Linked DNA regions of Coturnix japonica. The protein of the gene in region 1 interacts with the protein of each later gene in a pairwise test. Links are inferred from orthologs where the notes say so. Each region holds a gene or a part of one and is shown in the gene's direction. Other genes may lie near its edges. The genes, in order: CUL5, CCNDBP1, HTT and ELOA.

Region 1 (6,538 bases):
CTGCTGCTGCTGAAACCCCCTGAGTGGTGCTTACCAACATCAGCTGTAGAGCTGCATCACTGCAGAGGGAAGACAAAAAAGCAAAGCTTTTGATCAGTATTGCTAGTAGAAAGTCTGTGGTCCATAAATGGAGTATGTTAATAGGCAGCCACCTTGCTAGTTTCTGAAAATTCAGCCCTTCGTAATTGTATTTAGAACAGGAGAAGAATGCCTTCTGTTTGTCTGTCTGCTCTACTTGCAGTTTCATATAATCCAGTATTGTCTTACAGCTGACTCTGTGAATATTAAAATTTTAAATGCTGGTGCCTGGTCCCGTAGTTCTGAGAAGGTGTTTGTGTCACTGCCCACGGAGCTGGAAGATCTCATCCCCGAAGTTGAAGAATTTTATAAAAAGAATCACAGTGGTAGAAAACTGCACTGGCACCACCTCATGTCCAATGGAATTGTAAGTCTACTTTTTGGTGCTTCAGTTTCAGTGGCGCAGAGCTTGTTATCCAGAAAACCTTTCAAGCAGAGTTGTCATTCTGTTCACAGATAACGTTTAAGAATGAGGTTGGTCAGTATGACTTGGAAGTAACAACATTTCAGCTGGCTGTGCTGTTTGCGTGGAACCAAAGACCCCGAGAGAAGATCAGCTTTGAAAATCTTAAACTGGCAACTGAACTCCCTGATGCAGAACTTAGGAGGACTTTATGGGTATTTCACTTTCTTTCGAAACAGATTTCTTCCTGAATTTTTTTGCACTCTGAAGTACGGAAATAGTATTTTTAAAGTGCAGTCAGAAAATACTTCAAAACTGAAGTGTGAACACCTTATTTCTTAATTAACCTTATTGTAACCCTGGCCCCTTGTAATACTGTTGAGCACACGCAGCCTTTACATTAATGTGTTCTCTATGCTTGGAATTACATAACGTAAGCTTTTGGAAACAGCAAGATCTTTCTGACCATATACAGCGTAAAGCACAAAGTTGTGATTGAGGTTTGTGGAGTGGGACTGGTCTAATTCTAGGAACTCTTGATAAATGTGTGTTGCTTAAAAACAATGCAGCATTTCCTCTATCAGTCTTTTAATAATTTAGCTCACAAAAGAGAAATAATGTACATCAGGCAACACCACACGCTACTTCTGTAGCCGTGAGCTTGTGCATTTTTTCTTTTTATTATTTTACTTGTGGTAACTCATTTCAGAAGGACATTTGTTAAGCTGTGTCCCATCCCTGACTTTACTAGTGACTTTGTGCTGCCCTCCAGCACCTTCAGTCAAGGTTCCTTCACTACAGCCTGCACATCAGTGAGCTATGTTCTTAAATAGTACTTGTTTCCATTTAGAAAGTCTGGTGTTTTATTTTCATTCTTTTTTCCCCCCTTTTTCTCTGTAGTCTCTTGTAGCATTTCCAAAGCTGAAACGTCAGGTTTTATTGTATGAACCTCAAGTCAATTCACCCAAAGACTTTACAGAAGGAACCCTCTTCTCGGTGAACCAGGAGTTCAGTTTAATGTAAGATGATGTTTGAAAATGAAAATAACAATGTGCTTTTTTATAGTTAAAGGAATTCACTTTAACCTTCGTCCTTGGAAGTTGTCAAGATTCATTAGGCTTTGCTGTCCTATATTTGCTTCACTTCTAGTGCTAGTCGTGCTTCTGATAGGTGGTTAAAGCAGATGACCGCCAGTGGCCCCTTCAGACAAGTGTTTGCATAGTTCTGATTTCTGTGAAGTTAAACTTCTTAAATGCCTGTAGGGATGTGGTGCAGAATTGGAGGCTCTGCCATCTTCCCGTTACTAATGAGCCCATGAGGTTTTATATAGGAAAATGCCAAGTCTGGTGCTGCTGGGGCTTAGTTTCTTGCCCGGGGATGTGGTGGTTCAGTTGTTCCTGTCATCAGGACCACAAGCTTTGGGAAATGATGTGAACACATGACAGAAGAGACAGGCTGCACAGAAGTGTTGGGGGTGACCAATGAAGAATGCCATCAGCTTTTTGCCATGCCTGCTATGATGTCTGGTTTTCTCCCTCTATTTTTTAATGCTATACAGACAGTTTATGTGATGAAAAATGAACTTGTCCCATTTCCTGAACTTTGTTATAGAAACTCCTTTGAAGAACACTAGTGTTATGTAACTAAACTGAAGTATATTTCTCTAGAAGTCTATTCTTTAAAATAGTGCTGGTAACCTTTCAATGTTGAGTACTGTCAGTTTCAGCTGATGAATTTTGTGCTAACACTGGGATGTTGGTAGTGGGCTTTTTGGATGGAGGAATTGGGATTGAATTTGGACATGTCAGCTGGTATCCCAGTCCTGCAATGCTTCTAGTCTATAAATGTCTCATACACAATGGTTCTCCTTGCTGCAGTAATTTAAATTTAATAGGAATTCTGTAATTGAAAACGTATTTTAGCCTTATTTTTATACAATGCAACTTTTTCAGAAAAAATGCTAAAGTTCAGAAAAGGGGCAAGATAAATTTGATTGGTCGATTGCAACTTACTACAGAGAGAATGAGGGAAGAGGAGAATGAAGGAATAGTCCAGCTAAGGATACTACGAACCCAGGTAAGTGTGTGTCAGAGGAACATCACAGTTCTTTTTCTTTTCTTGTGTTATTGCAGCCTCTGATTGTCAGTGAATGAAATGAATGCTTTTTAATCCCACTTGCACTTCTGCTCTATGGCTCTGATACTTTCTGAAGAGCTCATTCTGTGCGCGTGTGCGTTTGTAGTTACAGTCAGGTTTAACTCCAGGACAGCCAAGCTGTAAACTGTTTCACCTCAGTTAACACCCTGGCTGTTCTTTCAGCCAAAGGGTTAATGCCTGCATGTGCTTACCAACTGAGAACACCTTGTAAGTGCTACTCTGACACTAAGCTTGTATTTCACAAGGTATGTCTCAGGTCACCCTGACTTCTGCTCAGAGAATGGGCAGGTGAACAAACGCCAGGTTTTAGTGACTAACTCACTCTCTAGATATAAAATTCAGAGTCACCACTGACTCAGGTTGTATTTCTTGTGCATCTTGTCAGTGTTCCATTCTGTTGCTTTATCATCTTCTTTGTGAAGACAGTTCAGGATCTACTTAGGCTTAGGAATTGTGGCTTACACTTAATACCTCATTAATGCCAAATTCAAAGCCATTTACTTCATGGATTTATAACTTCAATCATGCTGTGAGCATATCCTAAATTAGCCTTTTGTACGCAGTTTCCTTTGGTTTGAGTTCTACTGAGTTCTTGGTCACAACCTGGAAGATAACAAACTCCGTGGTTTGACCTTGCAAGTAAAACGTGTTCTTATCGTGTTATTTGTTTTCTTTTTAGCATTTTTTATTTACTTTGTTCTTCGTTGTAAGCATGGGGGTATAGAAACTCACAGGAGATCTTTGTACTGTATTATTCTCAAGTTTAATCATGATAATGAACATGGGCAACTGGCTGTAATTCACAAAGGTGGAATGCTGTAATCAGAGCATGTCTTGTTTTCAAGTGGGTAAAGGTTTGGCCCTCACTTCAGGAATATATAAGCAAGAGCAGATGTTGGCCTTGCCTCATTTGAATTGGGGTGTGTCTTAAGTGCAGTATTTACGATGGCAAAATAATTCTTATATTTGATTTTTGAGGAAGAATATTTTCTTGCTGTACCAGGAGTCCCCTGTTAAAGCTGTGTTCGCTTTGTGGTTTCCACCAGACATTTCAGAATGTTTTTTCTCTCATTCCCCACCAGGAGGCTATCATCCAAATAATGAAAATGAGGAAGAAAATTACTAATGCCCAACTTCAGACTGAACTGGTAGAAATATTGAAAAACATGTTCTTACCACAAAAGAAAATGATAAAAGAGCAAATTGAATGGCTTATAGAGCACAAATATATCAGAAGAGATGAGTCGGATATCAACACCTTCATATATATGGCATAATGCGAGGACTCTGTGAGCTGCTGAGAACATAAACAGAAGGGTGCTTGGACAGACAGCTGCAACAGTTTGTGCTGCAGAAGGACCTGTTTTGACTTTCATTACGTATTAAAATCCCTGCCTTACCTTAAAGAGGACTCTATTTTGCCAATCTCATTCAGCTAGCATGATGGCATTCCCTTCATGTTGCACACTTTTAACAGCATGCTGTTTTGTGGGAAACCTGCATTCATGAAGAGCCCGTTGTGAACTTTTAAAAGTAGATTTGACTTACACCCACCAGGAAGAATACAGGTTTGGGTTTTTAGATGACCAGTACTTGCACAAGGAAAAATATTCAAATATTCATGCACTGAGGAACTGCTACTAGTTTTGTTTTGGTTTTTGTTGTTGTTTTCTTTTTTTAATGCAATTAGGACTAGAAGTAGCACTTTCACTTTTGTGTTCTGGATCAGCAGAGTCATGTACTGTCCACCTTTGATCCTTTTTGTAATAACATTTGAGAGACACATGCCTCACAAACTGATATATATTTGTTATCATTAAAATCTGTTGGCTAGAGCAGTGCTTCAATCTAGTAACTGGATTTTAATATTTGACACATAAGTGACATAAAAACAATTCCAACTCATGGGTGATACTTTTCTCCAAACAAGAGATGGTTGTTTTTAAATTGTTTTCTGTAAAGAAGTGGATATACATTATTTGTTACTTTATTTGGACAGACGATTTGGTACAATCCTTTTTGAGAAGGCAAAGCTTTCTTGAATGATATTCCACTATAAAAACAGTTTCCATAGATGGGTCTGTTATAGTGAACAGAAATATTAAGTGTATTTCCTTATACATTTAATATTTGTATGCCAGATATTTAAGTATGCTGTATATCCGAATGCATTAAAGAGCAATTGATGCACAGATTCTCAGAAAGGAGGTAACTCTCAAAAATCCCTGCATCAATTCCTCACTGGTAGCTCTCTCTGTATGGATGGATGTAAGGTTAATCATACGTTGGCTGTTTTGTTCCTTGAAAAGTCAACATCTGTGACAAACAAATGCTCTGCTTTTCATTTTGAAAGTGTCAGAATGGGAAATACAATTCTAACAGAAATGGTGAAAAGCTTAGGAAAAACACCTTGTAAGATATATGTGGAGAGAGTGCCAACATTGCACCAGGAATTTCAATTTCTTAATGTTACCTTTTCTGTTTGCAATCATCTGAAGTAGTTGTTTGGCAATGCTTGCCTCTGCTACTCTGAAATGTCCCAACGTGTCCTGGGCTGTAATAGGAATCAGTGGAGCAGAGTGCCTGTCTTGGGACAAAAGGTAAGTTGAGCCTTTCTCAGTTCTGTATGAATATTCGTATATAAATTGCAAGTGTGCGTTCTTTTTATTTTACCAGTTCAAATACAATATCTCAAGGTCTTCTCAAATGATTGGAAGAGGGTGGAGGATAGGATTGACTTGAGTCAAAAAGGAAAACCTTCCATTAAGAGGAGGAGTTTATTTTTACGTGGTTGCAGTAAAGGGTGAAATAAGAGTGGTTTGAAAGCAAACTCACTACGAGAGTGGCTGTTTGCCCCCTTAAACAAGCTGCTTGGTCTGCTTATTAATATAAATGCCATCGTGACTGCCTGCATATGGTGTGTACTTGGTCCTCTATTTGACTGAGAAATTTGCAGTGCCAGAGGTTTCATGAATAAGAAGAGATGGAGAGACACTGAGAGCTGGCAAATTAGCATTTACACATTACAAATTAAGCTCGATGCTTTTACTGATTAAAAACAGTAAATGCTGTTGAAAAATAATGCATTTTTTTTCGTCTCCTATGGTGTTGCTATTCAGAATCAAAAGCAAGTGGTACACTGTGTAATTAGCCACTAAAACTATTCCAATGATAGGAAACAAAATTCTAATAAAATCCTTGTGCTACGGGAGTTTCAGTATTGGAAAGGTAAATTTCAGTAAGTGCTCACTTGAGATAGTTGGGATAAACTGACAACCCAGAGCTGTAAACATACCAGTCTGAGCACAGCCTCACCGTAAGAAATTCCAACCCTTTACCACAGAGGAACACACAGAAGGAGCACTGGGTAATGCAGCTTCTGAAGCCATTGACTTAGGTTGAGAGGAGTTGAGAGCGTCTTATATGCAATCATTCAGGAAGCTGGAGCGCGTGCAGAAAGCAGCAGGTTGTTAAAATCTAACAAACTGTTTTCCTTCAACTCATAAGTTTGAAATAGTATAAACTCAAAGTTACCATGTACTTCTCAACACCTGGGATGTGGAAATACAGTTGGTTATGTGCCTACAACATGGTCATTTTTCTTTAAATACTTGCCGAAAATGGATGTTGGTTTTTTATTAAATCTGAGAATCACACCAGCAAATTTGTTACAGATGCAGAATCGTGTTTAGCATCCTTCATCAGGTCACTTTCACCAGTATGCACTTAGACTCGTATCAGCTGGGCACAGGGAGGTAGCTGGGGTGAATGTTCTCTTGGGGACGGCAGAGTTCAGCTCTGAATGAAAATGAACTATTCTTCACTTGCAATATGGCAACAACGCACTTTTAAGGCTGCAGTTTTTAGCTATGAATTCACATGTCCAAAGACCTTGCTTAA
Region 2 (8,190 bases), on another chromosome or scaffold:
GTTTGGTACACAGCTTAGAAAGTCCTTGCAGCTGGAAGAATATCAGTTAATAGATAAAGATTTTAACAGGTGGGCAGACAGCTCTATAACCCTGGAGCTGGTGAGTGACTACTGGAGTCCCTAATGTTTGAAACCTTCTTGGTGGAAAATAAAGCCTTCTTGCCATCTTCCTCTTTCCACTGCAGCAACAGGGGTGGGATTTTTGCTATTCAGTTTTAGGCAAGTGCTTAACTCCATGCACTGTTTCACAACTTGAATGTAAAATAGCATGAAAGTAAAATATTACTGTGGTGATTTGGGAAATGTTAGTAGAGACAAATTTTTGATTTTGCATAACCAGAAAATGTATTGTAAAAATAACTCAGAAAAAGATAGGGAATAAAATCATCTACAGGGGCTGATGTCATGTTAAGACAATGAAATGTCCCTAATAAGCTGAAATACCATTAATAACCTTAGTTACTTCTGATGAATATGCTATGGATATGAAAAGAAATTGCCCCAGTATGCACTAACCACACAGAAGAGTAGTCGTTTTAGTGGATAGTAGGGGACATGGAAACAGGTTGCAGTGACAAGTAGAATTCTGTTTCTAAGATTCTCTTTCTCTTTTTTTTTTTTTTCAGGGGGTCTTATCTAACCTTTTCTTTGTGGAGCATGACTTTCCTGAGCAGGACATCCAGGAAGGGAAAAGCCATCAAAACATACATGAGGCACAGTTTGTGGTGGAACTTTGCAAATACTTCTTGTGTCAGGATTATCAACCTTCTCAGATCACCATTCTCACTACTTACACTGGACAGCTTTTCTGTTTGCGCAAGCTCATGCCAGCCAAGACTTTTGCAGGTGTGAAGGTTTACGTAGTGGATAAGTACCAGGGAGAGGAGAATGATATTATTCTGCTGTCACTCGTGCGGAGTAACAAAGAGGAGAGAATTGGGTTCTTGCAGATCCCTAATCGGATATGTGTAGCCCTATCCAGAGCTAAGAAAGGGCTGTATTGTATTGGAAATATGAGAATGCTGAGCAAGGTGCCTCTCTGGAGCAAGATCATTCACACACTGAGGGAGAAAGGTAACATCGGCCGCTCACTGACGCTTTGCTGTCAAAATCACCCTGAGACCATGACTCTGGTATCCACAGCAGCAGACTTCAGCAAAGTCCCAGAAGGAGGCTGTAGTCATCCCTGTGAATTTAGGTTGGACTGCGGACATGTTTGCACAAGAGCATGCCACCCATACGATTTACAGCACAAAAAGTATCAGTGTCTGAAGCCTTGTCAAAAGGTGCTTTGTACAGAGGGGCATCGCTGTCCACAGTTATGTTATGAGCCATGTGGACCATGCATGGTAATAGTAGAGAAAATGGTTTCTAAATGTGGCCACCTGCAGATGATGCCATGCTCTTGTCCAGAAAGTAAGTTTATTTGCCAAGAACCTTGCCAGAAAAAATTAAGCTGTGGGCATACATGCAACAAAAGCTGTGGGCAGGAATGTAGTACTCGGTGTCCTGAACTGGTTACAGTCTCTCTGCAATGTGGCCACAGCCAGAAAGTTCGATGTTGGATGACTGATGAGATGAAATATCATAAACCTATTGAATGTATGGCTAAGTGCACTGTCAAACTGGAGTGTGGCCATGGATGCTCAGGTTCCTGTCATTCCTGCTTTGGAGGAAGATTTCATGAGCAATGTAAGAGCCCATGCAAGCGCTTCTTAATTTGCTCCCACAAGTGTCAGCAGCCTTGTACTTCAGAATGCCCTCCCTGTCAGCTTGACTGTCAGAACCGCTGTGTCCACAGCAGATGTAAAAAGAAATGTGGAGAGCGCTGTTCTCCATGCGCAGAGCCATGTGAGTGGCGATGCCAGCACTATCAGTGCACCAAACTTTGCCATGAACCATGCAATAGGCCTCGATGCAATGTACCATGTACCAAGCTGCTGCGCTGTGGTCATCCTTGTATTGGATTCTGTGGAGAGCCCTGCCCAAAAAAGTGCCTTGTTTGTGACCGTGAGGAGGTTACCCAGATCTTTTTTGGCTTTGAGGATGATGAGGATGCACGATTTGTACAGCTTGAAGATTGTGGCCATGTCTTTGAGTCTCAGGGCCTTGATCGTTATATGGATGAAGATGATGAAGCCATCAAGCTGAAGGTGTGCCCTACCTGTCAGACACCGGTCAGAAAGAGTTTGAGATATGGCACTATGGTGAAAAAGCATCTGGCTGAGATAGAGAAGGTGAAAGAGAAAATCCAAGGCCCAGCATGGAAAATTGTGTCAAGCAGACAAAGACTAGAGGCTGCGCTCGCAAGTAAGAGTGTTCTGAGGAAGAGCCTACTCGCTAAGTACCTCGTGTTGGAGGATAAGCTGAATTCCTCTGATCTTTCCATAAGGAGCACTGCATTAATTGAGAATCTGATTAACTTCTATGAACGTATAGCTGACCTAACCAGTTCTCTGGGCAAAATTGATTCAAAAGAGCAAAAAGGGCTGAAAAAGCGTCTAGACGAAATCCAGGAGTGGCTGGATAAGCCACGCCTCGGTTTTACACAGCAGGAGCTCATGGATCTGCAGGCTGAGATCCAGAGATTGACCTACCTACAGGACCTGTTGTCAAGGTGTAAAGCCGTAAGTGGGAAGATCACTGTGACCGTTGCAGCAAAGATTGCCAAGGTCCGTGAGATCTTGGAAGGGACAAAAAGGTTTACAGAGAAGGAAGAGGCTGCAGTGAAAGCTGAGCTGAAGCTTCTCAAGGCTGCCCTGCCCCTGTCGGGATTGGGGATCACTGAGGCTGAGAGAGTGCAGATTGTCAGCGCTATGGGCCACCCGCGTGGCCACTGGTTCAAATGCAAAAATGGGCATGTCTATGTGATAGGGGACTGTGGGGGGGCGATGGAGAGGAGCACGTGCCCTGAATGCCACGAGGTCATCGGGGGTATGAACCACACTCTGGACAGCACGAACAGCCTCGCTTCGGAGATGGACGGAGCGACCCACGCGGCCTGGTCCGAAACAGCCAACAACCTGCTCAACTTCCAGGATCTCCAGCGCCTGCTGTAGCTGCTCCAACCCTGCCTCTCTGCCTGAGGGTGCAGCGCTCATTCCTTGGCTGTTCACTGCTGCCTCTGTAATCACAGAACCACAGAATGACCCGGGTTGGAAGGGACCTCAAGGATCATGTAGTTCCAACCCCCCTGCCTGGCAGGACCACCAAAGATACACCTTTACTAGATCAGGTTGCCCATGGCCCCGTCCAACCTGGCCTTGAACACCTCCAAGGACGGGGCATCCACAACCTCCCTGTGCAGCCTGTTCCAGGGCCTAACCACTAGTAAAGAACTTTCCCCTAACATCCAACCTAAATCTTCCCTCTTTTAACTTCAAACCATTTCCCCGTGTCCTGCTATTGTCAGCCCTTTCCAAGAGTTGACTCCCCTCCTGGCAGTAAGTTCCCTTCAGGTACTGAAAGGCTGCAATGAGGTCACCCCGCAACCTTCTCCAGGCTGAACAAACCCAACTCCCTCAGCCTGTCCTCATAGGGGAGGTGCTCCAGCCCCCTGATCATCTTCCTGTCCCTCCTCTGGACCCTTTCCAAAATCTCCATGTCTTTTTTTGTACTGAGGTCTCCACACCTGGACACAGTATGGATATAATCAATAAAACGCATATACATTGTACCCAACACCGCCCTTCCTTGCCGGGGTAGCGGGCGGGACTGGGAGGGTTTATCTAACGGGGCGGAGCCGCCTGTTTTCTGCCGTCCTCCGGAAGGGGATGTGGCGTACAGCAGCCGACGGGCTGCCGTGCTGTTAGTTGTTGAGCCGGGCCGCAGCTGCCGTCCAGCCGAGCCGGAGCGCGGGGTGCTCCCGCAGCATGGAGACCCGGGAGCTGCTGCAGGAGCTGTGCGGCTCAATGCGCGCCGTGCTGGCACGGGTTAGAGGTGGGAGCCGGGGCCGGGTGGGGACGGAGGCGGACGTTAGGCCGGAGTTCTGGTCCGGGCTTTCCGCAGACTGAGGCCTTTTGTCTGCATTTACAGAGGGAGAACCGGGTGAAGGCCGCGAGCCGTTCGAGCCTCCGCGCTTCTGGGATGCGCTAGGTACGGGCTGGGGAGCGGGTTGGCACCGAGGGGACCGCCGGGTGGGGCGGAGGTTGGACCGGCCCACAGCAGGGCTGGGCGGGTCCCAGGGCAGGCTGGGTCCATAGCGGGGCTGTGAGCTGCAGGGGATATCTCTGGCACTCCCCCTCAGCTCTAGTTCTGCTGCTGTTACATAGCACTATGAAGCGGTTTTTACAACGTTTTCAAAGCCTTATGGATCTTTCTACTTCCTGCCTTGGAGCAGGAGATGAATGTGATTATGGGTAGCAGTTCCAGCTAAGTAAAAAGCTGGCAGTGAACACATACCTGATGCGTGTTTGTGCATCAAAGGCACCATGGAAACTTTCTTTTGCAGTCTAATTTGGCATATATAGCTTTTTCATGCTGAGAAGGAAGAAATAGTAGTGTCAGGGAAGACACTGCTAGTCGACTTACTCTGTTCTAGTTTTACCTGACAGAGTTTCTAATTTCCTTTTTCCTGCTATATCCTCTCTAGGTCAGGCATTCAAGGCAACATCCCAGGAAGCTACAAAGCTTAGTCTGGCGTTCTCGAGACCTCCACTGCCTTCTGCAGAGGTTAGTAAAAATCTCCCACAGAGCAGGAAATTACTGTCTGTGTGACAAGTTTGAGGTATCTCTCAGTTCACTTGACTAATGCAAAGTTATCAAGTTGAGCATAAAAAAGGGACTTTATATGAGCTGTATTTTTATTTATTTTAAATGAATATTAATCAAATTCAAGAATTGCCTTGGAAACTAATTTATGTAGGTTAGGAGATGTCTTCTTAGATCTTTTTTGTTAAGCTTCTACGACTGATTGCTGATAGAGGTGAGATACTGGGCAGTGTAGATCTTTTCTCTTAACAATGAATGATGTTATGTCTTCTGTTAATTAAGAGAATATTAACGCTGTATGCGCCTTAATTTGAGAATAATTAAACTATTTTTTCCTTTCTTTACATCCCTTGAACCAAGGTGTGGTGGTCATACACCGTATATCAACTCTTGACACATGCAGTGTGCATGCAGCTCTAGCAAATTATTCTCTTCTGTGCTTGTTGGCATCACAGAAACATACTGCCTCTTCTTGTGCTGTGTTTGTTTCTCCATTATTGTGATGCTATTCCTTTTTCTTACAAAGTAACATAGATTTAAACGATTTCTTTTGAGGCTTTCTAAATGTAGTGTAGCCCTGTGATATTCCTAGTTAATCCTTCTGCCTACCTATTTTCAGAATTGTCGGAAGCTGAGTGAAGATGTCCAAAATGCTATTCTTGCAGTTGCCACAGTGTACTACTGGCTCCCCAAGGGCCAAGGTGAGAGAGTGATGGAGGACAGAGTCAGTTCCTTCATCACTATGTGAAGAAACCCGATATTTCACAGCATGTTAAATTTGGTCTGTATGGGAAAACAAGTTAATATGAACAAAGTCTTGTCAGCTGTTCTATAGACTTGCAATGTGATTATGAGTGAACTTGACAATTTGCTCTTGGAGATTTCCATCTGTGAACAAATGATAATATAGGAAGTGGTATAGTTTACCAAGCATTCATGTTTGTAAAGAGCTGAAATCTCTGTTTAAAGTCTTGTTAGAACTTTAGAATTTAGGCAATATAAATTGCTTCTGTGACTTTATACTGTGTGTCTGTGTGTGTGACTTTATACTGTGTGCCTGTCTGTGTATTCATCTATATCAGTTTCTTCCTTTTGGCAACATACTTGCTGTTTCTCAACCAGGTACTACACTTCGGAAGATGGTACGAGATGCTACCACTGAAGTATTGGAAGGAATGATCCAGCTCACAGAAACAATTCTCATTTCTCCATTGGGAAGGTAGTACTTTTCCAGCAAGAAGAAAAAGTTCCAAGTACACTCACTAAGGAGCAGCAAGTGTAGACTGCACTCATAAGGGAAGTGGGAAGGCAGGAACCGAGCATTGTTATTAGGCAAGCAAAGGCAGCAGACTCATTGGCAAGGGATTCTGATTGAACAGAACGGTGCTGGTGTTGACATTTGTCAAGCCCATAGCAACAATGTCAAACTGGAAAGCTAGGCCAACAAAGTAACAATTGGCTTTGGAGAGAGTAATTGGCATCACACACCATCCAATGATTGTCCAGCCAAGACCATTGCAATTAATTGGGTCTGAGGTCAAGCCAAGAAATCAGTGGTCTGCATTCAGATCAGAATCAAGGAGAGAATCAAGACCAGGTAGAGATATGGCTGCAACACAGCTGTGATGTAGCACAAGCAGAACCTAGTGAGAGACTCTCAGTGGAAAAGTCTGTCCTATGGTAAGGAAGGGCTGGGTCTCACTTGTAGCATTCTTCAACTGCATTTGCTTTGGTAGAGAATAGATTTTTCATCCTGTCTGTGGCAAGGAAATATGCTGGAAGTAGGATTTCCATGACAGTGCTTGATACTGTTTATACTGTTTGGCAATTCTTGCTTGTGGAGTGAATGGTGACGGTGATTGTGTGACTCTCTGTGGCTAGTTAGCGGACAACAGTCCTTCCAGGGAAATATGCAGTCTCTGTATTTACTGATTAATTCCATTGCCTCTAAGCAAAGATCAGCTGTCTCTTCTGATTTGGGTAAATACTCAAAGTTAAATAATATTTAAGCACCTTTAAAGGTTTTTGTAAGAAACTCCTGCATCTTGTTCCAACTAGTTACTAAACTCAGTAGGATTTATTAAAGCATCCTGTGCTTTGCACAGTTGTGAAATACTGGTGACAAGATAGTTTGCCAGTATTTTTTCAGCTGAGCCTCTTATAGTTTGCACAAAAATAAAACTGCCTAGCAGAGTGGTGTGGTGTTACCCTAACTTTGAGGGCCTCTGTTTTGTTTCAGCTCATCTCAGGAGCAGCTTATATCAACTGGTGGTGTGTGGGAGGCATGTGAGCAAGTGTCCAGCCTGCCACGAGGTGAGTACTATGTATGCAGACCAATGGAACTAGAATGTGTGATCTTGAAATACTGTTAACTCTTGAGAGGGGCATTTTAGGTAGTACACTGTAGGCTTACTCATTCTTCTGAACTTTAGTATTCTCTGAAGTATGGAAGCCTGCTCTGATAATTTGTAGAGCAGTACAGTATGGTTCTGAGCTTTGCAAAAAAATAGGATCCTATGATCTCAAGATCTAATGGTTGCAAACACAGATGAATGTTGGTGCAAGCTGATTTGAATCACTGCAGTTCTACAGTTCTCTTCACTTTTCCTTTTGCAGATAACCAGGCAGCAGTTGTGTCATCTCTGTCTGCATTTCTAGGTGTGGTCAAGGATGCTGTGGAAGAGATGGAAAATGTAAGGAAACCCCTAAGTCACTGGGGAACCTGCAGTGATTTCTCTGAAAGAACACAAGCATTGTTAAATATGCAGGCTTTGATTTAGGTTGGTTCTAGTATGACCAATATTATTATCTTATGCCTGTCTTACTAAGGTTTTTAAACCTGGGTCTGGTTTACCTTACAGAGAGCTTCATGGAAGCTCTGCCATGTTTGTCGTTTTAGGTTTATGTAAGAATGGGACTGTTTGCCAGGTTCTCACAGTTTGCTGTTTTGAACAGGAGTCAGTGATCAGTTTTTCTTAATCCAGTCTTACTGGAGTGAACAGAGCCTGGCAGCAGAGTTGCTGGTTGAAGAGAGGTTCCTCCATAAATGATTTGTGTGATTTTTAGACCATGTTTTACTTATCCTCCTCGATATTGCTACAGTAGATGTTAGGCTATAGGTTTTCTATACATCTGTGTTCTCAGGCTATAGTGGAAGAACGAGACCCCTACAGTGATATCATAGAAGATGAGGAGCTTGGCTTTCGGGGTAACAGAGATACCTATTGGTCAGAAGCTGACCGGAAGCTACTTGGCTCCTGCATGGGATTAATGAAGGCTTCTAAAGCTTGCCTGAAGAAGGTCTTGAATGCAGTGAAGACTTATGGAAAAGCTGACTCTCCAGATCAGATTGCTCAGCTGGATGACCTTGCAGACATTGCCAATGAGATCAGTCCAAGGTAAGCCATGTCCTGAACTGTGTGTATGGTTTTAGGCTGATGTAAGAATGGGACTATCTTCCAGGTTCTTGCAGATTGCTCT
Region 3 (7,984 bases), on another chromosome or scaffold:
CATGGAGATGAGGAAGTTGTGCTATATAATTTAAAGTGACTAATATTACTAGCTTGGAGATTTCACTTGGAGAAGTGTGCAAAGGGTAAGGAGATGAAAGCAAAGCACTGTGGTATGAGAAACATAATATGAATTTTGTTCATGATTTTTCATAGGATGCAGATGAGAGATGGCAGCAGGTTGTATTTACTGCTGATGTAGACTTTTATTTCGATGAAGCTATAATTAGAAATAGAGTTTCCTGTTCAGAATGCCTTCATTTCACCTCTGTGAATTCAGATCCTAGCTCTGTTACATGATTTTAATAGCAGCGAGACAATCCAGCAGCCCAACTGCTTTGTTCTGTTGGTGTGAGATACAGGAAGATCTATCAGTTCTGTGGAGCTGTTTCAATGAGATCAATCCTTCTTTGTGGCTTTTGTTTCCAAACATTTGTTTCTGTAAGTCTTAATGTCTGCTTGTGTGTACCTCATGAATCCACATACAGGTAACTTTCCTCATGCTCCACATACGTCCAAACCACCACAGTTCCTTCCATTTATAGCCATGTTGACTGTTAAATGTGTTAGCTCCAGAACCACTCGAGTTAATTGTTGTATGAGCTGTTTTCCTGGATGTTCTACCATTGTTACTCTTGAAATAAAAGCAGAACACTGCCACATCTCTCAAACACACCTATTATTGTCTTATGTGCTTTGTTTAGCAGCTCTTTCACGGTAGCCGGGGTAGGTAAAGTTGTCATGAAAACAATTAAAATTACAAGTTGTTGAAATAGAAATGATTGCTGATTCTGTTGTCTCAGCAGCTATAGGTACATTAAAGCAGAGGTTGTACTTCAATCCATTATTTTTAGTTAAAAAAAGATCTTAATACTTGAATTCCGCTGTCTCTGAGAGAAGCAGCCTTTAAATAGGTATGTTTTATATGTGCTTTAAGAGGGCAAAAGCAGGTCCAGCATCACGAGGCTGATGCTGAGCGGCCAGCGGGTCCCCTGCCAAGCACTAAGTGCTGGTTCCTGTAAGTGTTTCCCCTTTTTCCTCACAGCCCAAAATAACGCCTTAGTGCCGGTAGCGCTTGGCATCAGCTCAGCGCGATAAGGGCTGTGAGGGGATGGATGGATGGAGGCTGAGGCGCCCTTAGTGCCGCCAGCGGGCGCCCAACCCGTGCTGGGCGGAGCAACCCAGGCAGGAGCGCGGGGGCTGCTGGGCCAACCCCAAGATGGCGGCGGGGCAGCGGGGCGGAGATCGCGGCCCCGAACGGCGGCTCCCCGGCTCGGCTCGGCTGTGAGGCGCCAGGCGGCCTGTGAGGAGGGTGTGAGGGGGAGAGGAGGGACAGGCGGAGAGTCGGGAGCGGGAGGAAGGACGAGGGCGCTCGCCTGTGAGAGGGCGGGCCGGAGCGGCGATGGCCACCATGGAGAAGCTGATGAAGGCCTTCGAGTCGCTGCGATCCTTCCAGCAGCAGCAGGTGCCGGCCGTCATCCCCGAGGAGCCGACGCTGAGACCGTGAGTGAGCGGAGCGGGACGTGGGGTTGTGGCAGCGGGCGGACGAGTCCGGAGGTGCCGCCTGTGTTTGTGGCTGTTGAGGTGGCTGCAGGTCTCTGGGTGAAGGTTTGTAAACGCTGCAGCCTTGTGAACTTAAGCCTTGTTTGACTCAACATGAGCCAGCAGTGCGCTCTGGCAGCCAGGAAAGCAAATGGGATCCTGGGCTCCATGAGGAGAGGGGTGGTCAGCAGGGATAGGGAGGTGATTGTCCCTCTCTACTCGGCTCTTGTGAGGCCCCATCTGTTGTACTGTGTCCAGGTGTGGAGCCCTCAGTACAAAAAAGACATGGAGATTTTGGAAAGGGTCCAGAGGAGGGACAGGAAGATGATCAGGGGGCTGGAGCACCTCCCCTATGAGGACAGGCTGAGGGAGTTGGGTTTGTTCAGCCTGGAGAAGGTTGCGGGGTGACCTCATTGCAGCCTTTCAATACCTGAAGGGAACTTACTCCCAGGAGGGGAGTAAACTCTTCGAAAAGGCTGATAATAGCAGGACACGGGGAAATGGTTTGAAGTTAAAAGAAGGAAGATTTAGGTTGGATGTTAGGGGGAAGTTCTTCACTAGGAGAGTGGTTAGGCCCTGGAACAGGCTGCCCAGGGAGGTTGTGGATGCCCCGTCCTTGGAGGTGTTCAAGGCCAGGTTGGACGGGGCCCTGGGCAACCTGATGTAGTAAAGGTGTATGTTTGGTGGCCCTGCCAGGCAGGGGGGTTGGAACTACATGATCCTTGAGGTCCCTTCCAACCCGGGTCATTCTGTGATTCTGTGAAAAGATCTTAAGTTTAGCTTAAAATCTAGGATTTGTCTGTCTTTAAGGAATGGATGTAGATAACTGCTTATGGCAGGCTTTGCTTGAAGTCTTGCGTTGTCACGTGTTTTGAGCTCCAAGAGGAAATAACACAAATGTTTCTGCTATCTCTTTGTGTCCTTAGATATTAGGGTTGGAGGCACTGAAAAGATGTTTGTTCCTATCTGCGCAATGCTCTGGTTTCAAGTCAGGGAACCTGCAGCTTTGCTGGAGGCCAAGGAGCTGTTCAGTGCCCCAGTGCTGCCTGTCGGCTTTGCTTTCTCTAAAAATAACTTTTATTGAGCAGGTGAAAAGGCACTAAGGACTTTAGTGCACTCGGTAAGTGAGTCACACTGTTGCTGTTTCTCCAGACACGAGGGAGACAGGAGGAACACAAGGGCTGAGGAGCAGGTAGCTTCAAAATTGACAGTTTCAGGTGCTTTTGGCAGAGCTGATCCACAATGGAAGCTGGGCTCTTGGCCACCTGCTCCCACAGTACGGTTTGAGACAGATGCCAGCTGGATTTGCCACGGTTCATACTGCTTGGACACTCTCACCTCAAACACTTTCATTGTGTCATTGATACTCTTGGGGACACAACAGATGAAAAACCTTATTTTCTTCATAAGCCAATTGTTTTCATATACCTCAGTGTTTACAGGGACTAATTGCTCTTTTATTTTTTGATTGTACTATGATTTTGCATGGCATGGAGAATAGGTGGACGTCTATTTCCAGTCTTTACTGTGCATAGCAGAAGAAAATCTAAGCAGATATTGCTAGGATAGATCATCTTATTTGAAAAGAAAGGCTTGAAAATAATTTGTGATGCTTGCAGGGGGATGTTATGGTTGATTTGGGGGTTTGCATTTAGTCATACCAGAATCAAAGCGCTAAAAAATCAAGCTTGTAATTGTCCTAGTTGACTTTGTTTTTTCCTGTTTAAAAATAGACTGGTTGTTTTCAGAAAGCTGATAGTATTGCATGCCCCCAGGAGCTTTACCAATTCAGAAAGGGCACTGAGCTCCATAAAAGCCTATGAAACGATATTGTGCCAATCTTCGTTGGAGTTTCCTGAATTGTTAGTGAAATACCAGGTGACATCTTGAGCTGAACTCCTGGTGTTGGTTGTGTTTTCCATCCGATGGGTTAGAAAAGAGAAATGCCTTCTTGTGTTCTTTGCACATAGGGACCAGCGTTCATCTTAATTGTGATCCTGCACAGATAACCCTTAAATATTTAGCAGTGCTGTATGCTAACAAACTACTCTCTCCTGATGTGTAATATTTTAAGATCACGGAGGCTGGAGCTTAGAGATGGGAATTGTTTGCACAAATGTCATCGTGACAATGAATTTTGAGATCTTGATAAAATAATATCCTGGTTTTACATTTATTATTAAGGTATTGATTGAATTCAAACATTGGTAATGTGAGGGTTCTTTTCTCTCCTTTCCTCAAGGTTTTAATCAGCAGTAATCACTTATTGTGGTTTTAGTGTGTGTTACAGGCATGTCAGGTTATGGCCTCCTCTCTTTCTGTGGTTGGTTTGGCCTTCTATGAATGCTCAGATTGAGCTCTCTGTCATCATTTTGCTTCTACAAGCTTCTGCTGAGGCACCTTCTTGTCTTCCATCTCTGTTTTTTTGCTTTTTTGGACTCCTGAATTTTGGTTGGAGTTGGGTATGTTGGGTTCAACTCAACAGAGTTGAAAGTTCGGTCAATGTGATGTAAAAATTGACTTTGTTCAATGAAACAAATGAACGGATGGACTGTCATACAGCATCCTGTATCTTATTCATCTCACCTCTTGTCACAGAGCTGACCAGAATGGTGTGATAATCGCAGGTTACTTCTGCTACACATAACTACATGTAGCTAGTTCTACACATAACTAGTTTTGATTTGACCATTCTAAAGGCTGTCCTCTTGTTATTGTTTTTCCCACCTTTGGAACTGTTAACTCGTTCCGATAGTTAATTATTATAGTCATTTTAAATTGTGACCTATTTCCAGTTTGAATCATTCATTTATATTTACGTGCGGTTCTTACCCTTACGTTTGAAGCCAAGGAACTTTCCAGTAATGGGCATTTTCATGAGCACATGATACACATTAAAAGTTTTCTTTTGTCCTTCAGAAGCTGCTTTTTAGGAAGGCAAATAACAAACGGCAAATGAAGGATCCAGTGCAGCAAAGGCAGTTTGATGCTTTTCCTTCCTTCCCTTTGGATAGTGACTCAATTTCTTTTAGTTTAAATGGAATGTGCATAGTTCAGAAGTTACCATTTCAGTTTTCACTTCAATTTTTCTCTTTTCAGGCCATTTTTTAAATGATTTTTTTCAACTACCCATTTCAGAAGCGATGGACTCATGTTAGGGGAGCTCTTTGCTTACGGAAATCTGCCAGGGATCGATGTGTGCTCATCTGTTATTATTGAACATTGCTCCCTGCTTTGCCCAGGGCTATATTAGCTGAAGACGAGATCCTCTCTGAGGAATACTGAAGCTTACATTTGACAATATTTTCTTTAGATCTAATGGAAAAAATGCTGTTGTTTTGGTTTGGTTTTTTCCTCATTAGTGTTCTTTATATTTTTTGCAAGGGAGAAATAAGCAGATGATTGGGAGAAAAACTGAAAGGTTGGGATGAAATAAACCCCCATTTCCAATATGACAGAATATTATTCCAATAAAAAAATATGCTAATGTTTGAGCTGAAGATATTTCAGTTTAATTCTACAAAGCTTTGTGTCTTAACAGTGTATTTTCAGTTACTGTAATGTGTTCATTGGCTGGTCACTGTTGGCCCTTACAGCTGTGTTGACTGTGATACTGTAGTTCAGGGCTCCTGTGATCATTTTCAACTTCTACTTTAGAAATGCTTGTTTGCTCTTTGATGGTTTTGCTGTTTTTTCTTGAGACAGAAAACTCAGTGTTCAAAATACAGATTACTTATGTTCACCTGGAAAGCAAAAGCGAAGTCCAGCTCTGTGTATCTGTGCATTCACTCATCTGCGAGTCAATGAGCAGGTGCTTTTTGCAAGTACACACAGAGGTACCTTGGGCTGTGTTTTTCAGCTCCTGGGTTTCGACTAGTGAATTATTTATAAGTAATTTCCCCTTTCCTAGGGGTGGTTCTCTGACACTTAAGTTAAAAGTAGGAGACTTTGCATATAGTGAAATGAAATTTCGCAGTCGTAGTTGTGAGTCTGTCTCATTCTAGTGTTTTATTTTGTGGTTTTGTTTCCCCTAGTTCATATATTAAAATGATTGAGGATGGAGTAGGGAAGAAGCTTCTGTTATTTATGAGCTGATAGCATGTGAGAGTGGTGAGAGACTTTATACATTGGGCTTTGCACCTTTTGTAGGTATGCTTTGATTCTGTGACTTCTGTTGCTTATTCTGTGCTTGCTGCTAGTTAGCTTGGCCTTAGTGTTACTGCAAGGACACGATTGTAGACAGGTATGGACCATGCCTAGAGTTTTGCTATTTGGACAATTTCAAAATCATCTGGGGGATTGTGATGTATGGCAGGATTGCATTGATATAGTTACTGCTCACTTTTAGTCTTAGATTTATTTTAATTGTTTCGTTTTAGAAAGAAGGAACTTCTAACTACCAAGAAAGATCGAGTGAATCATTGCCTGACAATATGTGAAAACATTGTTGCTCAGTCTTTAAGGTAAGACAAAGTCTGGCTTTAATATGAATAGCAACTTCTGGTTACTAGACACATGTAGGCTGATTTTAAGTGCTCAGTTTCTGTTTAAACTGAAATGGTACAATGCTTTTTATTGCTTCTTGTTGTTTGTGTTTTTTTAACTAAGCCAAAATGTACTATTTTTCTTTACACATTGGTAGAGTGGATACTATCCTATTTCAGACAGAAAAGCCAAGGCAAAGAAGTCAAATACTGTGCCTGGTTATGTAGGGAAGGAGCAGGGAAATGATCTCCTGTCTTCTTACTAAACATCTGCTGGATCATTTCTCCCCTTGTAAAACTGTGTATATGCAGTAGAGTTCTGAAACCCCTTTATGTCTGGCATTGATGTTTGCTTTTTGCAGTGCACATTGTGATTTTCTAATACTCGTTTATTTAGAAATTCTCCAGAATTTCAGAAGCTGCTGGGGATTGCTATGGAAGTTTTTCTCCTCTGCAGCGAGGATGCAGAATCTGATGTCCGGATGGTTGCTGATGAATGCCTTAATAAAGTTATTAAAGTAAGAACTTTTAGGTATTGTGTTAACATATTCGTCTTCTTCTTGATGCCATGTTACATGTGAAATCACACTTACATTCTTTTAATTACTTACTCTTGATAATCTCTTGTAATGCAAGAGTAGGCTTTAGGAAATTCTATATGTCTTCTAAGGAGAGATTTTTATGCATGGAGTTACATAAATTTTATATCAGATGAAGGCATTTGAACATGTCTCTGTGCTAATTCATTGCTCAGATATTTTTTGTTCAGTGATTCATTAACTCTGTTCTCTTTAAGTCAGTTAAAGATCATTTTGGGATGGGAGGAATACTCCTTTGTTTTGTAAGCATGAAGTTACGTAGTATGTAAGAAAGCTAAAAATATTACTGGAAAGCTGACTGTAAGATGTTATGACGCTTTCCAGACTAATGGCATACTGTAATTCTGGTAGTGCTTTACTGAGACTTGGCAGAGGAGCTTTTAAGCATAATTAGGATGAAAGCAGTGTTCTGGAGTCTGTTTATTACCACGCTGCAAGCCAGAAACAAGGACTCGGTGCAGACAGCAGATGGATATTGATAGAAGGTCGGTCAAGGTCAAATTATGGATTCAACATACAAAATGAACCTTATGTGGAACTGATGTGAGCTGCTGCTTCCAGAACAGATTTACCTTCACCTGTCCTTTCTTTATTTTTTCTTCCTGTGTAATGTGCCTGCATCATTAATCTAGTTGATACGAAACGAAGTGCTTTATGAATTTGAAAGTAAGAGTTTTCTTAGTTAGTTAGCAGTTATGGCCTCCACATTAGCACTTGCCATGTAAGATTTTATAGTTATGAGTAATGCTCTGAAAATGTGAATTTAATGGTTGATGGTCAAAATGATGGATAGGAGACTAAAAGTCATTGAATAATAGGACTAGGAATAAAGAATCAAAAAGTCCAGAAAACATGCTAATGCATAAAAGAGGGGTTCTCAAGGGCTATTAAAGGTTGTGGTACAAATGCAGCCTCAGTTTGGGATACACCTACCTTACTGTTTGAAGGTGGGGGTGTATAGCAGGGAAGAACTCCCACTGCTTGCAAGCACTATTCTTGTATTTCAATAGTCTGTTCATGAATATCTATTACTGGCTGTTGCCAGAAGGCATGGTCAGTTGGCTGTACCTGTGGTCTGATGCCATATGGCCTCTTTTGGGCAGATTGAGGTCAAGTAGCTAATACCAACTAATTTAAATACCTATATTATAGTTTAACTTGTGGGATTGTCTATGTTTCTGTTTGTTCTTTGTGTAAAAGGTGAACGAATGTCTCTTGTAAAACCAGAATGTGTTAAATACAGGATAACGGAGAGAGAATGGCTGATTTGTGTTTTTAAAGCTGTTTTATTACAAGTGCAATTTTATTCCTTTAAAGTGCCTCCGCTCTGATACAATGTATTGACAATGTATTTTATTGC
Region 4 (8,151 bases), on another chromosome or scaffold:
CTCATAGCCCATAGCCGATAGCCCACAGCCCATAGCCCATAGCCCATAGCTCATAGCCCATAGCCCATAGCCCACAGCTCATAGCTCATAGCCCACAGCCCACAGCCCATAGCCCATAGCCCACAGCCCATAGCCCATAGCTCATAGCCCACAGCCCACAGCCCACAGCCCATAGCCGATAGCCCACAGCCCATAGCCCATAGCCCATAGCCCATAGCCCATAGCCCATAGCTCATAGCCCGTAGCCCATAGCCCCACACCGCGGCCGTGCGCTCGGTACCTGCACCGTGGAGCGGCCGATGCGCAGGTTCAGCACGTAGATGCCCGGGATCCCGCGCTGCACGAGCTCTCGGATGTAGCCCATGCTCAGCGGGTTGCAGCAGCTGTCACCTGAATGGGGCGGGAAGGACCGTCAGGCCGCAGCCGCCCCCTCGCCCGCCCCGCGCCGCCCCCCGCTCACCCATTCCGTGCCAAATGACCAGCGGGACGGCGGCCCCGGAGCGGCCGGGACACGGACACAGACACACACACAGCAGCGCCAGCACCGCCGCGAGCGCCGCCATCTTGGCTACCACGTGACCGGCGGGCGGAGCCCGGAAGCAGCGGCTCGTCACGCGGCGCCGCCTCCGGCCGCCAGGGGGCGCCCAAACCCGCCCCGCCCCATAAGGCCCCGCGCGGCGCAGGCCGCTCTCTTCCCCGCCTCCATCATGGCGGTGAGTGGAGCTGCCGTGGGTCGGGACGGGCCGGGCCGCTTCCATCCGCCGCCATCCGCCCTATGGCGGGGCTCGGCCGGGCCGCGGCCTGTACGGGGGGGGCGGGGGAGGTCGGTGGGCGGCGGTAGGGCTGGTACGGGCTGGTACGGGCGGCGGGCTGCCCCGAGCTGCCCCGAGGCTGCGGCTGCCGGGCCGGGCCGCGAGCTGCGCCGTGCCGGGATGGGGCTGCGGCACCGGGCGCTCCCGGGCTGATCCCGGTACGGGCCGCGCTGTCCGCACGCTGCAGCCGCCGGTCACGCGGTGCGGGCTGCGCTCATCCCATCCGGTGTTTCTTCGCAGCAAGACCAGGGTGAGAAGGAGAATCCCATGCGAGAGCTGCGCATCCGCAAGCTGTGCCTCAACATCTGCGTCGGGGAGAGCGGGGACAGGCTGACCCGGGCGGCCAAAGTCCTGGAGCAGCTGACGGGACAGACCCCCGTGTTCTCCAAAGGTGACGGGGCTGCGCCTTGTGCCCAGTGTCGCCGTGTTGGGGCTGCGGGGGGGCGGTGCTGGGCACAGTGCGAGGTCACGGTCTGTGCTGTGTGTGTCTGTGGGCGCTCAGTGCTCCGTGACGGCAGCTTTAAAATCTCCAGTCCTGTATCTCTGCCCTTGTCCCCGCAGAGGGAATGTGAGATTCTTGGCTCTTTTTATTTCCTTTGAAGTATCTTGTTTGGTCTCGATCAAGCTCTGAGTCCCCTGGAAGTTGTTTGCATGGCGTCCTGAGTGTCACTGTTCTGCCTGCAGCTCGGTACACGGTGAGGTCCTTTGGAATCAGGAGAAATGAGAAGATTGCAGTTCATTGCACGGTTCGTGGGGCCAAAGCAGAAGAGATCTTGGAGAAGGGGTTGAAGGTGAGAATGGGGCCCGGCTGGATCCTGTGTGGAGAAATGAAAAAACAACTTGAACTGTCGGCAGCTGGAAGAATGATGGAAAGCTTTGAAATGTTGCATCTGATTTAGTTACAGTCACAGATGTGGAGGCTGGGTTGGTATCCCTGGTACACGGGCTGAGATTGCACCATTTCTTTACTTGGTGTGTGTGTGTGTTTAAGACTCACTGGTTCAGCTGCTGCATCTTTTGAGTTTTTCTGTGTTATTGTGATTCCCAAGCAGGCCGTGGGATTGGAATCTGATTACTAAATGCTTACCAACATGTGGGTCTGGCAGCAGTTAGTAGAATGTGCAGAACTCCTGTTTGTGGTTGGTGATGGAATGACGACTGACAATGTGTGTTTCAGGTGCGAGAATACGAGCTGAGGAAAAACAACTTCTCAGACACTGGGAACTTTGGCTTTGGAATCCAGGAGCACATCGATTTAGGGATCAAGTACGATCCCAGCATTGGCATCTATGGCTTGGACTTCTATGTGGTGAGTATTCCCTGTCAGTGCACCTGCCTGCTCAGTTAACTAGATTCCAATTGCTGCTATAGTGCTTTAAGTCCTGACCATAGCTCACAGAATAAGATGTTGTTGACCTGGAAGTTGTAGATTGTCCCTTGTTAAGGAAAGGTTTCTTTAAGTAAAGGCTGGAATGAGGTAGTGCTATTGGTCTCCTGCCAGGTGCTGGGCAGGCCTGGGTTCAGCATTGCTGACAAGAAGCGCAGGACTGGCAACATTGGAGCCAAGCACAGGATTGGGAAGGAAGAAGCCATGCGCTGGTTTCAGCAGAAGGTACGGTCCAACTTTATTTAGTTTTTATCCTGCAAGGTTCCTGGCGGGTATCAGCAAAATACTGCACTGCTTTATCGTCCTTATGGGAGGAATGGAACGAGTCACTGGGCCAGACAGTGGGGCTGTGAAAGGGATGAGTGTGTTCGGGTTAGATTGACATCTGAAGGGGCCGCCTTGTGTTGCTTGACCGGTTTGTGGCCTTAGTGCTGACCCAGAGCCCCCTGCCTTGGAAATAAGCATAAGGTGGCAATGCAATTCGCTGCTCGGCTCAGAGAAGTGTTTAATGTCATTGTCTTGGAATGAACGTGGTCATGTTTTTCCCCCAGCAGCCCTGTACCTCTCCCCATTTACCTGTCTGCTTTCTCACTGTGTTCTCTCTGGTTTTCTCGCAGTATGACGGCATCATCCTTCCTGGCAAATAAGCGGCTCCTGTTACCAAAAAGCAAATAAATGTTTTTTAACCCCAGTTTCTGTCGTGTATTTTATGGGGGCTCCTCCTGACCTGGGCAGCTGCTGGAGCAGAACGACGGGCACCACCATGGGTTAATATGGGTTAATATGGGTTAATATGGGTTAATATGGGTTAATATGGGTTAATATGGGTTAATATGGGTTAATATGGGTTAATATGTGTTAATGTGTCTGGGCTGATGGAGGGAGCTGGAGCCTTATTGACCATCAGCCCCTTTGGCTGCTGGTTCCCAGCCCGTGTTTGAGCTGCCTTCGGCTGATGGGGATTAAAGCCCAGCGCTGAGAACCCCGCGGTGTTTGGTGGGTCTGTGCCCCCCACACACACACCCCATGAGCCCTGTTCGACCCCCCGCAGGCTGTGCCCGCTCTGTGCAGCCCATAACGGTAATTCTCAGCTCAGCTCTGTGTTCCAGTTCAGCCCCATCCCTTGTCCCGTTCTCGTTCCCCCGCTCCTCCCGCCCGTTTCCGCCCTCGGGACGCTCCGCGCCGCCCGAGCTCCGAACTGCCAGCACTCAAGATGGCGCACCCAGCGCCACGCCAGGCCCCAAGATGGCACCCATTGAACTCTGCCCTTACCTGCCATGGCCGCCGCCGACGGGGGGAGCATCGCGCAGCTTCCGCTTCCTGCCCGCAGCAGAGATGGCGGCGACGGCCGGGAAGCGCCGTGTGGCGAGCGAGAGGTGAAGCCGCTTCCGCCGCCGCGGCCCGTCCAGCACTAAACATGGCGGAGTCGGTGCTGGAAGTTGTGGGCCGGCTGCAGGCTCGGCTCGCGGGCAGCGCGGATCCCAAGAAGGTGCCGGCGGTGACACGGCGGGTGCGGGAGGGACGGGGCCGGCGCGGCCGCGAGGGGCGGGAGTGGCGGGGTCGGGGCCTGATCCGGAGCTCGGGGGTCCCGGCTCCGCTCGGGCCGCGCTGTCAGGGCCGGTCGGGGCCGGTCGGGGCCGTCCGGGTCTGTCCGGGCCGGTCGGGCCGCTCCGCTCGGGGCTGTCCCCGCCGCTCGGTTCGGGCCGGGCCTTTGGTCGGTGCTGGCCGTGCTCGAGCTCTCGGCCCGTCCCGTTGCTGCCGTGCCCGCTGACAGCCGCCGTGCTCGGGGCCCGGAGCCACTTGTCGGGAGCTGCGTGCGGTGCAGCCGGGGCTTGTTGTGCTCCCGGCACGTGCTGCTGCGCCCGGCACCGGGACGTGGCGCCTCGCGGGGCAGCGGCTGTTCGGAGCCGATGGGGCCGCGTTTCATTCAGTGCGGACGCGGCAGCAGCTCCGTGCGGAGCCGGGTTGATCCTGGACACGCACCCACGGAGCGGCTGAACCCCGTGGGTCGGGCGCAGGGAGCTCTGCCGCTTGGCTGGCTCCGTTTGGGCGCCCAGTGCCTGTCTGTCTCCTTCCTCCACCCTCAACCTCACACAGCACCGGAGCGGAGCTGCCAGGGCCCCGTGTGCTCAGCTGGAGCTGGGGAGGCCGAGCTCTTGGCATCCAGCGTGAGCACTGAGAAGTGCCGTGATGCTGGAACTGAGACGTGTAACTCTTCCAGAACAAGGAGGAAAACCTAATTCTTCACTCATAGTGATGAAGTCCTACGTGTGAGCAATGGGGCAGTGGTTTGTGGTGAATTTGTGGTGAATAGGATCCATCCTGTTGTTCTGTTTAAGCGAGATGGGCTCTTTTCTCTGTTGCTTCTTCAAACGCGTACAAATAATTCATTTCCTTCAAAAAGAGTGGAGCTGCCTAAACCTCCTGGGTCCTTGTGTGGTGTCAGTAGAGTGACAGGAGCTGCTTAGGCTAACAGTACTGATTTCAGCATGAGTACAATGGTTTAAGTAAAAGATGTTCCGGATTGAGGCAGCCCTTTATACGGCGTATGGCACAGCAGTGCTGAACAAAGCCGGGTTGTAGAGGTGCCACAATAATGGGAATGCTGACAAGTCTGCTCTGGCTGTAGCTGCAGGAGATAATACAAGAGGTGGTGCTGGTAGGTCTGTGCTGTTGCTAAAAAGCCTCTGTACAGCTCAGTGAGTTGCCCAAGCACCAGTACTGCTCCATTTATGCCCACACAGCCCAGCCCTTCAGCTTCATGTGCCACGGGGCTGTGTAAAGGCTTTGCTACCGACACTGTAAGCCAAAGTTAAATTGTAGTTCTCTGTAAAGGAAGAATTTGTATTTGAGTAAGTTCAAGATTTTTCAGGTGACCCTCATAGGCCAAGTGGCAATAACTTCTTTGCAGCTGGCCCTCAAGTCTGGCTTCTTAGGGACTCGATGTGGAGCAAGATAACAGCTGTCTGCCACCTGGATCTTTCTAACAAGCTTTGTGCAGAGCTTTCCTTTCTAATCATAGTACATGTTTCAGTCTGACAAGTCTTAACGTTTTCCTCCTTGTCTCTGCAGCTGCTGAAGAGTCTGAAGAAGCTGTCTGAGCTGCCCATCACAGTTGACATTCTTGTGGTAAGAGCTGCGAAATCTCTTGTGCTCTCATCCTGTCTGTCAAGTTACAGAATCTGACTGCTAGAAAAATGCTGCTCTCTGGAGCAGGATATGCTGCCTAAGCTGCCTGCTCCAATGTGATGTCATAGACATGGCTGAGATGGATGAGATTCTAGGATTCTCAGTTAGAGAGAGCACCTCAGCCCTTCTTCTGCTTCAGCGTGAAGCAGTGCAGGGCAGGTGGTGGTGCTCAGCTCCTCCAAAGCTTATTGTTTGGTCGGGATTTGTGAGTCGGAGCAGTTCCTAATGGTGACGGAAGCTGCATTGCATTAGGAACTGTGAATCTTTGGAACTATTAGTGACCGGCTTCTGTCTTCAAACAGTTATGGTAAATAATAACTTAGTCTATTAAACCAATTGAGTAGCCTTCAACTTAAAGCAGAGTTATATCTTCACTAATTTACAGAACTGCAGTAAGCTATACAATGTCTGCTGCAAACACAATGTGCTACGTGTGATATCTTTGTTGTTAGATTAAGGAAGCTCACTTTGACCTAGACATGATAGGTAGCAGGCTGACTGCAGGAAGCTCAGTGGAGGAGGTGTGAATGCTGACTGCTTTGCTGAGGTTAGTTTTTATCTTTTCTCTCTCCTGAAGGAGACAGGCGTTGGAAAGACAGTGAACAGCTTACGGAAGCACGAGCTGGTGGGAGACTTCGCCAAGAACCTTGTGGCCAGGTGGAAGAAGCTGGTGCCGGTCTCCCAGGAGGCAGACAGGTGAGTAAACCTGCTCAGTTATCTCAATGGAAAAGTTGTTCTCTTTTAATTTTTGCAGTGTAGATTGCAAACTACTCTGGTCGTGGAAACAAATGAAGGCTCTGGAAAAACCTGTAATACAGTGTGCTGTGTGGGGCTTCTGCTTTATTTTGGAACAGACCTCCTCCCTGTGCTCACCGCAGTGCTGTGTTGCTGACGGCTGCAGTTCAGAGTGAAGGCAGGGACCAACCTCCAAGAAGCTGCAGTTTGATGAAGAGATTAGCAGTAGCTGCCAAGAAAGGGCTTCTAATAAAGCAAAAGATGTAATCTGTTCACTTCCCACTTATGATGCCAAAGAGAGGAAGTTTTAGGCGCAAGTAAAGGAAGTGGCTTGCTTTGAAAGAAGACTTCTGTGTGTAGAGATGCCACAGAAACCAAAGCTAATGCTAGCACTGTGTAGCAGTAACATAGTAGTGTGGTGTCCCTGCATGTTTTAATGGGTGAACTGGGAGCTCCTGTTTCCTTACACACTGTGCAGCCAGAAGCATGTGACATGGAGACATCTCTGTACACCTCTGCCTCCGCTTGCTCAGTGAACTGTGAAGTTGTTAGTCCTTATAAAAGATGCTTAATTCCTGTGTCAGAAATGTGGTTCCTAAATCCCTGAATGTTGCTGAGCTAGTGAGAATTGGTGGTATTATTGCCACAAAACTTCTAAATGCAATTTTAGTCCTCTGTAAGAGATTCCCATCCTTATTGCTCTGCTCATTCATACTGGGAAATTTCAGTCTAAGTAATTTGTTTTCTCATCCTTTTAGAAATAATGTAGATTCTGAAGACTGTGACTATGAGAGGAGCAGCTCAAGGAAAAGACAAGCACCTTCTCCCCAGGAGGATGAGGAACACGACCAGGACTACTCAGAGCCTTTCCAGCCTTCCTGCAGCCAGCTCTACAGCCCAGATCATAGGGAAAAGAAGTCCAGAAGGTATTTAGGGCCTGAAAAATCTCATGAGGCTTATGGCTGTAGCAGCCAAGAGGATAAGAGATGGGACAGATCTTCCCCAGTGCTCTCTTCAGATCAGGAGTACTCAGACTATGGACAAGCTGTGTCACCTGAGCCAAGTGAGAGCCCTCAGGATACGTACACAGACCCTTATGCCTCTGATGAGCAGGAAGAACCAACAGTGTTTCATCAGAAAGTCAGTAAAGGCCATGGCTTTCAGGAGAAGCTGGGGGAAAGCTGGGAGAGGAGCCCTGGTGATCTCCATGACAAAGGGAATGCCAGTCGAAGCAAAGAGCACAAGTCTTCTCACAAGGAGAAGCAGCGACTTGATGGCCGAGGGGAGAACAAAGCCTCTGCCATCAGCCCAGAAAAATTGCACAAGACCTCATTTAAAGAGCATCTCCAAGAAAGCCCCGTGGTAGGGGGCAGCAAGGAAAAGCAGAGGATGTCAGATAGCACTAAGAAGGAGAAAACCCGAGAAAATAGCTCTTCCAGAAAAGAGAAGCTGCACACACAGCCACACTTGGAAGAGTCTATGGACAACCACACTAAGAAGCGAAAACATCAAAACTCTGAAAAAAGCAAACCAGGGAAGTCCAAGCCAAGCGTGGAGACTTCTAACACAGAGCGGGAGAAACAGAAAGCTGAGAGTGACTCCTCAAATAGAATTAAAGACAAGGGGACTTCTGGGAGCTTTAAAACGTCTGAAGGGAAGCACAAAGCCTCTGAGTTGGACAAAAAATCTGCTGACTTGTCCTCAAGTTTTGGGGATGGGGAAGTGGAGGATGAGTTTGAACAACCTACTATGTCCTTTGAGTCATACCTCAGCTATGACCAGCCCCAGAAAAAGAAAAAGAAAGTGGCCAAACCCTCTGTGTCAGCTGGGGAGAAAGATCAAGGGCACAGCAAACAGAATGGATCCAAAGCCAGTACCAAGAGCTCCAGCTCGAGTCGCAAGAGCCCAAGTCACAAGCGGACAAATGAGAAAAAAGCAGAGAAGAAACAAGCAGAGACTCCTAAACCAAACAGGGTAAGGTTCTGGAGGATCTGAAAGTGAGCAGAAAAGGTGGAATCAGCTGCCCTT

What was found.
Region 2: the proteins of CUL5 (region 1) and CCNDBP1 interact in binary tests that used the Homo sapiens proteins (3 or more experiments, as listed by UniProt). The two-hybrid records come from large-scale screens. The link is inferred for Coturnix japonica from reciprocal best matches to the Homo sapiens genes CUL5 and CCNDBP1.
Region 3: the proteins of CUL5 (region 1) and HTT interact in binary tests that used the Homo sapiens proteins (3 or more experiments, as listed by UniProt). The link is inferred for Coturnix japonica from reciprocal best matches to the Homo sapiens genes CUL5 and HTT.
Region 4: the proteins of CUL5 (region 1) and ELOA come close enough for resonance energy transfer, tested with the Homo sapiens proteins (3 studies listed by BioGRID). The link is inferred for Coturnix japonica from reciprocal best matches to the Homo sapiens genes CUL5 and ELOA.

Annotation. Positions count from the first base shown.
Region 1 is NC_029516.1:161,306,189-161,312,726, reverse strand, and holds the end of CUL5 (cullin-5), read left to right. Parts: intron 1-269; coding exon 270-445; intron 446-534; coding exon 535-696; intron 697-1,381; coding exon 1,382-1,500; intron 1,501-2,433; coding exon 2,434-2,557; intron 2,558-3,720; coding exon 3,721-3,915; 3' UTR 3,916-5,986; downstream 5,987-6,538. UniProt on the Homo sapiens protein: Core component of multiple cullin-5-RING E3 ubiquitin-protein ligase complexes (ECS complexes, also named CRL5 complexes), which mediate the ubiquitination and subsequent proteasomal degradation of target proteins.
Region 2 is NC_029535.1:5,929,143-5,937,332, reverse strand, and holds the start of CCNDBP1 (cyclin-D1-binding protein 1), read left to right. Parts: upstream 1-3,764; 5' UTR 3,765-3,872; coding exon 3,873-3,939; intron 3,940-4,035; coding exon 4,036-4,095; intron 4,096-4,591; coding exon 4,592-4,671; intron 4,672-5,329; coding exon 5,330-5,411; intron 5,412-5,832; coding exon 5,833-5,929; intron 5,930-6,949; coding exon 6,950-7,023; intron 7,024-7,326; coding exon 7,327-7,403; intron 7,404-7,854; coding exon 7,855-8,108; intron 8,109-8,190. Other genes in the region: ZNFX1 (NFX1-type zinc finger-containing protein 1), read left to right, coding at 627-3,059. UniProt on the Homo sapiens protein: May negatively regulate cell cycle progression. May act at least in part via inhibition of the cyclin-D1/CDK4 complex, thereby preventing phosphorylation of RB1 and blocking E2F-dependent transcription.
Region 3 is NC_029519.1:74,626,097-74,634,080, reverse strand, and holds the start of HTT (huntingtin), read left to right. Parts: upstream 1-1,201; 5' UTR 1,202-1,401; coding exon 1,402-1,502; intron 1,503-5,920; coding exon 5,921-6,004; intron 6,005-6,422; coding exon 6,423-6,543; intron 6,544-7,984.
Region 4 is NC_029538.1:4,894,733-4,902,883, forward strand, and holds the start of ELOA (elongin-A), read left to right. Parts: upstream 1-3,506; 5' UTR 3,507-3,616; coding exon 3,617-3,709; intron 3,710-5,271; coding exon 5,272-5,328; intron 5,329-5,965; coding exon 5,966-6,084; intron 6,085-6,881; coding exon 6,882-8,097; intron 8,098-8,151. Other genes in the region: PPT1 (palmitoyl-protein thioesterase 1), read right to left, coding at 281-390, 461-758; RPL11 (60S ribosomal protein L11), read left to right, coding at 708-713, 1,053-1,203, 1,497-1,603, 1,990-2,121, 2,314-2,424, 2,817-2,846. UniProt on the Homo sapiens protein: SIII, also known as elongin, is a general transcription elongation factor that increases the RNA polymerase II transcription elongation past template-encoded arresting sites.